Linked DNA regions of Drosophila melanogaster. The protein of the gene in region 2 interacts with the protein of the main gene of each other region in a pairwise test. Each region holds a gene or a part of one and is shown on either strand. Other genes may lie near its edges.

The links.
Region 1: the proteins of CG8435 (region 2) and CG8219 interact in a two-hybrid assay, tested with the Drosophila melanogaster proteins (one large-scale study listed by BioGRID).

What each region holds. Positions count from the first base shown.
Region 1 is NT_037436.4:6,198,369-6,204,276, reverse strand, and holds CG8219 (uncharacterized protein), read right to left. Parts: upstream 3,805-5,908; 5' UTR 3,738-3,804; coding exon 3,639-3,737; intron 3,546-3,638; coding exon 2,955-3,545; intron 2,902-2,954; coding exon 1,834-2,901; intron 1,777-1,833; coding exon 1,606-1,776; intron 1,552-1,605; coding exon 1,380-1,551; intron 1,319-1,379; coding exon 1,223-1,318; intron 1,168-1,222; coding exon 1,092-1,167; intron 1,027-1,091; coding exon 852-1,026; intron 791-851; coding exon 677-790; 3' UTR 501-676; downstream 1-500. Other genes in the region: LanA (laminin A), read left to right, coding at 1-102.
Region 2 is NT_033778.4:16,169,073-16,172,535, forward strand, and holds CG8435 (uncharacterized protein), read right to left. Parts: upstream 1,790-3,463; 5' UTR 1,712-1,789; coding exon 1,688-1,711; intron 1,634-1,687; coding exon 1,065-1,633; intron 1,005-1,064; coding exon 596-1,004; 3' UTR 528-595; downstream 1-527. Other genes in the region: Ptp52F (protein tyrosine phosphatase 52F), read right to left, coding at 2,170-2,487, 2,546-2,920, 2,979-3,113, 3,174-3,244, 3,306-3,463.

The sequences.
Region 1 (5,908 bases), on a different chromosome or scaffold from region 2:
AAGGGCTGCATCAGCAAGGTGGAGGTTAACCAAAGGATGATCAACATCACGCCGAACATGGTCGTTGGCGATATTTGGCAGGGCTATTGTCCCCTCAACTAATAAAGAACTTCGGAACGACTTAAGGACCTATGATTTATTTGGACAACGACTACGAAAAACTGCCAGGAAGAATCTTCTTTTGCCGACAACTGCTAATCAAAGGACAACGAACGATCAAATTTCAAACGAACAAAATCGACGGGTCATAAAAAAGTCATAAGGTCTTCAAAGTAATAGATCCTTAGCAAAGATGCCAGTCGTATATATTCCTAGTACTATAAGCCAAACTGCGTGCCAATTCTATTAAAGCCATTTACATTTATATATCCTTTTTAAAACTCCTTAAGAGAATCTTGCATTTTTGTAATTCCAATAAACCAATAAAATAAACATTTTAATGAAACTAAAACTTTTGTTTTTTTATGTCATAAGTTTTAAATGGTGTAACATACATTTTTACAATTATTGAGACTTTATTTACAAAAATATTTCAGGTTTTGTTGAATTATTCATATTATAAATGATTATATAAAATCGTATATTACTCAATAGCTGACTTTTTTTGGGGCTTTGGTTACTTAGTAAAATTAGAATGATGATTGAAGCAATACATAATTGGCTGGATAGCTTCGGATTAGTATTCGATGTCGTACAGTTCGATTAGCCGGCAGGCCAGTGGTTGTGGAAATTTCCCCAAAAAAATTAGCCAATTCTCCGCACCCGTTTGGTTCTTAAAGCCTTCGATAATCTAGAATAACAAACGAGTATTGTTGAAAGACGAAAATTAATAATTTCCGGAAATAACTTACTCTTCGAATCATCTGACGCAGATCCTGTGGAGGATTGTCCCACGAGGCAATGGCATCGCAAAAGAATAAGAAGTCGGGCACCACGCCTCCTGGATTCTCCCTGATCATATGGCACATTCCCATAAAAGACAAATACTTCTCGTCGTGGTCATATGCGTAACGCAATAACAAGCACCTTCATTTCGTGGAAGAAAGGATAATTTAAAAAATGAGCAAATGAAGCATTTAATGTGTACATACCACTGGCGTAGGAATTCGGGCAAATAGGGAGCCACTTCATCTGGACATGCATTTCCGAGGCGCCCAAGTGTTATTGCTTAAAAAAAAGAATAATAATAATAAATTACTTTAAATCAGGCCAAATTACTTACCCGCATTCCTCGAAAGATTTTTTGGAATGTCCTGCCGGTTCATCAGGATCATTAGTTCGCTAAGCAGAAGGCGTACGTACGGCTTGGTTTCCTCACCTTAGGGGCGAAATACAAAAAATCTTTTTTGTTACATTATAAGAGAACCAAGCCAACTTACCCAACTTAACGCAGATTTGCCCTATGGCCCAAACTGCATTGTTGCACACACCAACAACGCTGGGGTTTAGGTTTTGCACCAAGATCAAAATAAAGTGGGCCGTGTAGGGGTATACCTGGGAAAAACAAGCCCCGCTCAAATCACCCAGCAGGGCAAACGATGATTGGCGAACCTAATATGTATTTTAATCCCATATACACGAGTATATTAATTAGGTAAAACTTACTTCGGGCATAACGTCGCCCATGCATTGGCAGAGCAGCTGCAAAAGTTTGCTGTTGGCCACCAGTGGCTCTATGAGGCTCTGCAGCCCCTCGATCAAGCCAGACACCAGATCCAGGGCGATAACCATGCGCTCCTTGTCAGGATAATCGGTTGATTGGCTTTGTTTACACATCTTGAAAGGAGTCGAGTTCATTGATAGATTTACATTGAAGCTAACACAGTTGCTTACCATGTCCTGGTTGATAGTCTCCTCAATAATGGAGATGCCCTTTCGATACACCGAGTCGCAGTAGGGCAGAAAGGAGGACTGCAACGCAGTGGCGATGCTCGATAGGCACTCCAACAAATAGATTATATCTTTGTCGTCGTCCTTTACCAGGTTCCACTTATCCATTAGCGGAGGCATTAGGATGTCAATATATTGCGGTTTATTCAGATGATGACCGACGGACTCCGCTAAAAGACCAACGACATCGTACATTATCAGTAGATTCCTTTGGTGGTACTTGGAGAAGGCTAAGACGAACGTCTTTAGCATATTCTCCAGGTAGGGCACCAGTTGCGTGCAGGCCTCCTCCTCCAGAGCGACAAAGGCAGAGCACGCAGCTTCCTGAACGCGCTTATTGGAGTCCAGGATGCACTTCAGCAGTTCCTCGATTAGAGGCTCCAAGTACTTGTCGTGCGGCTGGTTGAGCACCCATTTGGGGAATCGCATGAACGTCCAGCATGTAATGGAGCGTACGAGTGGCTTCTTGTCAGACAGACAGGTAATTAGGTAGGGAATCAGCTCTGGTAAGTGTGGGATCAAGCCCTGCATGCAGCCCTCCGCAATAGCTCCCAAGGCCATCACACCACTTTCTTTGATCACCCATTCCTGGTGGAATAGCGCCTCCTTTAGGATGGGCAGCATAAGGGGCAGACAGACATCGCCGAAAATTTTCGAAATAATGTCGAGAGCACAAGCGCTGCACTTGCGCAAGTTCAATGCCGAATCCCACATATCGTCGTCCGAGTTTTCATCCAATTCATTACTTATACCGTGTACGCGGGACATGTGGAAACGTGGACTGATATCCTGCTGTCTATCAGGCTCCTTGTCATCTTCACCTACATCGCCCTTCAGAAGAATAATGTCCGTCTCCGTGTATTGCGTTCGGCTTACAAGAACTGGGACTAACTGGGATAGAATGGGAGAAAGTATATCCCTGCAGTTTCTCTGCTTTCCCAATGAAAGCCAAAATTCGGTGGCCTGCAGAGCCACGTTCTCATCGGCGTCCTGGGAGCGCAACAAAATGAGCTACAGAGATTTTTCATTACGTTAAAATTTAAAACTAAACCTTAACTTCATACCTCAATAATCTGCGACATGTGCGGCATCATAAGGTCTATGCGCACCCCCACCAGACCAACCAATGCGTGGCAGACGTTCATGCGAACCGCTGGGTCATTATCCGAGGGCACGTCTAAGAGGTTCTGAATGAGGCTGTCTATGTTTAGCATCAGGGCCTGTGATCTGTTGATGATGAACTGGTTGATGCAGGCAATGGCGTGGGAGCGGATCTTTGGACTGCTGTGCTTAAAGTACTCCAGGAACTTTGGAATCATTGTATTTAATGGCATATTTTCCAAAATTCCGGCAGAGTCCTCGCAAATTTTCTGCAGAGCACTGAATGCTCCTTCGCACACATTGTAGTCCTGGTTGTCGAGCATTTCGCAGAGAGATGGAAGCAGCTGCGGCCAGTTGTGCAGACCGATATTGCTGGCAATGGTGGTAATCAGAATGCCCACGGTGCCACGGATCTCGGGTGAAGAGTCGCCCACTGCCTGCAGGCACTGGTGTTTGATATACTCCAGGTGTTCCGGCTGCAGAGTGATGTCGTGCATGCGAATGTTGTTCTTGAGGATTAGGCCGCTCATGGAGCGCGTTGCCTCGTTTTCCGTCTTCAGATTCGTGAGCACATAGACGAGATAGTTGTTGAAGTCCGGGAAGCACCCGATGAGGATTGCTAAATCAGTTGGGTCTTCGGTACTTACCTCTTGCACGGCTAGCTGCGTGGCTTTACCGGGAGACTGTGAGTCCTTGAGTATCGGTAGGAGCTGCTGCAGACCTTCATCCCGTGGTGTCCATGCCATTTTGCTGCTGATGCAAAAGTTAGCCGGGTTTTGTATGATAAATGTGGGGTAAGGTCTGCCAAAGGGGGCTACCGAAGTGACAGAGAATGACACTCTGTTCTCGGCCTACTCATATCCCATACAAATCAGAAAATCCATTATCTTGATGGGTAATGTTTGTTATACATACATATTTATTCATATATATACTTTTCAATTTACACAAATCTTGATAGTTGAATTTTGAAATGGAGTTTTTAGCCAAACAAATATATAAACTCCAGAAGAATAATCTGTAATCCATATAGTTTGATGTAGGGATTATACATACATGCATGTATTTCATATATATGCGTATGTTATTTATGCATATAGGCCCGTATATATATTCAATTTCGTTAGACATTTGCAGAACATTTGATTTAGCCTAGACAGTGGTTGTAAGCTTAAACGATTAGAGATATAAACCTATCAGAGTTGAATGTTCGATGAACGAAAAGTTTTACGTGCTGTTTATGAAGATATAGATGGTAAAACAATATTTACTAGGCTTGGTCTTGATTTACTTAAAAAAAACAACGGAAGTTAAATATCATAATTGTGTAAAGTACTAAAAACAGTTGGTATGTTCTCTTCATCGATTTAATAGCATACACACGATAATATTGAAAGAAATAAGAAAAAAATTCTCTAATGCTGCACAAATAACTTTTGATTTGCTGTTTTAATTTGTTTCTTGCCCTAGCTTGACCTAACATTTAGTTTATTTGATGTTCCCTACTTTTTTTTTTGGTTTGCCCTATCGTAATGAAAAATAATATTTTAAACAAAAACCTACTCTGCATAAAATCTATAAATATATTTCATATTGCTGTATATGTGTGGTGTGTACATGTTTAATGTTGTATGTTTATGTGTAGTTGTAGTAGTGTTGATTCAGTTTTTTTGTTTTCATTTTTTTTTTCTGCTTAAACGCTAATCACTAAGATCACCCGAGAGAGATACAAACGCACGCGAACGCGACCGGATTCCGCGATGAATCCGGATTAAGGTACAACGAAATCACGATTTTTCATTTTAGTTTAGTTTCAGTTTTAGCAATTGCTATGCTTCCGCTTTAGTTAGACCGTATTATTATCAAGTTATCAAGTATTGCGATTATTATTTGGGACTCGGGGGCGAAAGTCCCTTATTGTTAGTTTTTAAATTGATTGAGTTTAACGCGACGCGAACGAACGACCCGAAGTTACTTTATTATCACACGTTCCCCCATTTTCGAAACGAAATAAAAACACAAACGTAAACACGGTTTGCATAATTACGTAATACTATTACTTAGATTTACTTACTCTTCTTACGCTTCATAATCATCCATTTATTTTGTATTTGACTGAGTTTGGTTTTCCCTAGTTTTATTTTTCGTATGTTTTAGTTGTTCCGCGACAATTTCAAAGACTTTTGTTTTCATTTAGTAGTACACTTTACACCTAATCATATAATTGTAAAAAATTTGTTCTGTACAAAGATCGTAAATTATAGAGGTTACGCAAAACACGAGTCTATACAAATGATATAAAAGTTCGAAGAAAATAATAATAGTTCATTAATTACACTTGTCCCTATACAAAAAAAAATTATATAATAATACTTTAAAAAGTGATCAGTCAATGGTTGCTTTTGTATTCAGTTAATGGAAAATAAATAAGATATTCAACAAAATCCTAATCTCAATTTTACAATGTTTCCCTATTTGCTTGCTTTTCGCTTTCACAATGCGTAAAAAAACACCTAATTTTGTATAGCATATGAATATCATTAAGTGTATCAGTAAATTTGTATCAGTAACAGTTGCAATATTATCGTTATCCTTGTATTATATCCTTTTTTCCTTTTTCTTTTGTTTTACCCGACGAGATACCACGAACGACGATTACGATTACGAACGAGCGACGAAAATACGCGAACGCGAAACCGTTAGAACCCGAAACGCGACGATTTTTTTCGATTCCATTTTTTGTTTGTTATATAAATGACGAAAGTGTTGGATACTTCTGGGAAATTGGAATCCGCTGTTGATGAATGCTTTCTATGGTTTTTGAACGGAGTTGAACATCAGTCTTTGTTTGATTTGTAACAATTTTGTGTGCACCTGCCATTGAATCCATTTTTCCATTTCTGATCTTAGGATTTCA
Region 2 (3,463 bases):
GAAACATACCAGTGTCTTCGTAATTTATGAAATTAATCGTTAGAATCGATTATCATTAACTTGTAATGCATAATATTTAATTATCGTATATGTATATTTATAATTTTCTTTCGCTTGTGATATTATTTATTATTTTGATTGCCCGAGTTTTAGACGTAATACATTCACCACTGTATATATATCACTTAGACTTTAATTGTAGTCGATATCAGTTTCGTGCGTGGAAACACACTCGTTTATCAAATGGTTGCCAGTAAATCGGCTATGACAGCTCCAAATGAGTGGGAGTGTACCTTAGAAGAATACTTTGCAGTTACCTTTTGCTTTGATTAATTTTCTGTTTGAATTTGAAATGAGTTTGCCTTAAGTTTGGCCTTGAAAAAAATTTGAAAGAATACAAAATGAAACAAAGTCAAAATATTTAATAAAATGATGCATTATTCCAATACTTTATCGGAATTTTCAGTCAATGGGGATCTTGGTGGATTGCGGCATATTTCAAGTTTAGTAAAATAAAACCATCGACTGCTTTTATTATTTGAACTTGCTTTAATCTGTCTTCGAGTTGTAAGTGTGTCATCAGGTAAATGCTTGGTCAGTTGGAATCCTCTGAGCTGTCACTGTAGGCAGCCAAGAGGGAAAGTCCAGCTGGAGCGGCAGCTGGCTGATTTGTAGCTTTAGTTTCCGCTGGTGCAGACACAACTGAGGGCGTGGTTGCGGCTGGTTTGGATTCAACTTGCGTCGTTCCAGTGGCTACCGTGGGCTTTGCTACTGCGGTTGCCTTGGGCTTGACCAGCACCAATGGTGTCTTCCTTTTAACCATTGACTGCGCTGCGGATGCTTTGCTGGAGGATGTGGCGGAAAGACTGATCGTGCTGGGCTTGGCCTGTTTGGCTGGTGGAGGAGCTGACGGTGTGTCCAACGGTTCATCCTTGATCTCCTCAATGATTTCCTCAGCGACAACACGAGAGCTTCCTTCTGGCTTGTTCTTAAAGTTTACGGACCTAAGGAAATGTAATGTGTTAAATACACCGACCAAATAGAATACCTAGTAGAGAACTCACTTAATAAAATCCTCGTCTTCGCGCTCCTCCCGCTCCTGGCGCTCTCTCTCCGTCTCCACCGTGTTGTACTGCTGCAGCAGAGTGTTGTAGTCCACTGTCTGCTGACGCCGGTTGAGATCACGCAACTCCTCCAGGCTCTCGATCGTTTCGATCTCGTTGCGCGACTGTTGGGTGCGATTCTCGAGCAGCTTCATCGGATTGTTGGCCTCCTCATCGCGCAATTCCTGCTCCTCGCGACGTGCCTGTTCCTCGGCCAACTTGAGTGCCATGAAATTCCTGGTGGCCCCCGCCTCAATCTCGTAGTCCGTGTTCTGTGGATCTGTCTTGAAGGAGATCTCCTGCAGGCAGCGCGTGCACTTGATGTAGAACCGATAGATCCTGATGCCCAGGTACGTTTCGTTCTCCACGTCCTCCTTGCGAGCGTTGAATTTCTTGCCCTTGTATATGTATTCCCCACACGTTTTGCAGCGCATATTAAATGGAGCCATCAATCTCACGGTGTACTGCCGGTTTTTGGCCAGTTTCATGCGCGGAATCTTCGATGGATCGAAGTCCGGGGGATAGTATTTCTGCAGAGGAGTCGGTCAGGTGGCGATCTATTAGCTTAAGATGTATTTACTTACGTTTAAGACCTTTCGCTCGGACATTTTGAAGACTACGATTTATTTCTTACTAAAATAAATACAATTTATTTATCTGCCTAACAGTGCTGTAAAATGTGTGCAGTAAACAGTGCTCAAAGGCGTAATCCGCCGTTGTGAAAATATAGTTGTCTCGCTCCTACCTTTTTTTGTAATTGCATTTACCGCCAAATTTGAATTTAATAAAAACTCTTATAAACTGTTATACACGATACCTCTTTTTGTAAATTCTTTGCTCATTGCCCAATTTAATAAATAAGTTCAATAACTTATAGTTTTCTGCTATACATGCGCTTCTTTATAAATAACATTTATGTACAAAAACAGTTTTTCAAATGCAATTACCAAATTTATATCCACACTTTCCACTTAATATACAATTTAGATACATATTTCTTTGGCTATTATTGCTGCTGCGTTGTCAACACATCGTTAATACAAAAGTTACAAGAACACAGCTCATCTCACATATTGCTGCTGCTAGTTGGGTTATCGTTTTCGCCCGGTGGACTATTCCTCCGCAGTCCGGAGAACCTAGAAGGCAGCTGCACGATGGGCCTACCGTCATCCAAATCGGTGATCGGTGCGGATGACACATACTCACTGCCCACATCCACGTCCGGAAAGCTCACCTTTTTGGGAGAGGGAATGGCGGGCACGGTCACGGACTTGGGACGCCCATCCATTTTCAACGCAGCTCTGGGTATCTTATGCTTGACCAGCTCATAGGTGCAGGCGTAGAGGAATGTGTACTGCTGCTGCGTTTGCACCATTTTCATGCGCTGAAGTAGTGGAGAAGTAATGAGATAAATCCACAATGGCACTGAAAAAAAAACCCACCTGGAATCGCAGCTTTTTGACCGTTTCGAAAATGTTGATTTTCGACTCGCTCTTCAATCGCTGCATGATCAGATCCAGGCCAATAAACGTGCCCGTCCTGCCCACTCCCGCACTGCAATGGACGACAATGGGCGAGTAACTGGGTCGCTTCTCCGCCTTCACCTTCTTCACAAACATAATCAAATGCATGGGATCCTCGGGCACGCCGTGATCGGGCCACTTTTTGAAATAGTAGTGGATCACCTTCTCCTTCAGTCCGTACTTGTCGTGCACAACAGTCAACTCAGTTCGATCGTACAGCTCCAGAACCTCCTTGGACTTGATAGTCACAGTCAATCCACGCACATTATACGGATAGTACTCGTGACACTTGATCTGTTGACAAGACAAAGAAGGCTTAGCTTCCATCTCAAGGACCTAATCATGTACCTACCGTATTGCCCTCGCGAAACTGGGTAACTTGAACAATAACCCGCACGTTGTACTGCAGGATCATGCGCCAAAAGTCCATCACACTCTCTGGTTTTGGTCCCTGGGTGGCTATGTACTCCTTCTTACGCGTGTGACCCTGTGAAGTGGATGCACTTAAGATGATCTTCCTTAAGGATTAGCTATAACAACTACTTACATCTATGAAGGAGGCATTGATGTAGTCCGATCCCTCCGCATCGATGTCCAGAATCACGCGATTCTTGTCATCTATTAAATGGGAAAAAATGTGGTTTCCCATAATGGTTATTGCTACATTGAAGTTACTCACAAGGAAATATGTCCGCATAGCGATTCTTGTGGCAACCCAATTCGGAGGCGGAATAGCTGAGCTCCAAGGCCACAACGGTGATCTCCTTGAACTCCCTGGCCAGTTTCTCCGGCTTGGCAACTTCGGTATAAAAGATGGCAAAGTTCTTGGCAATGACA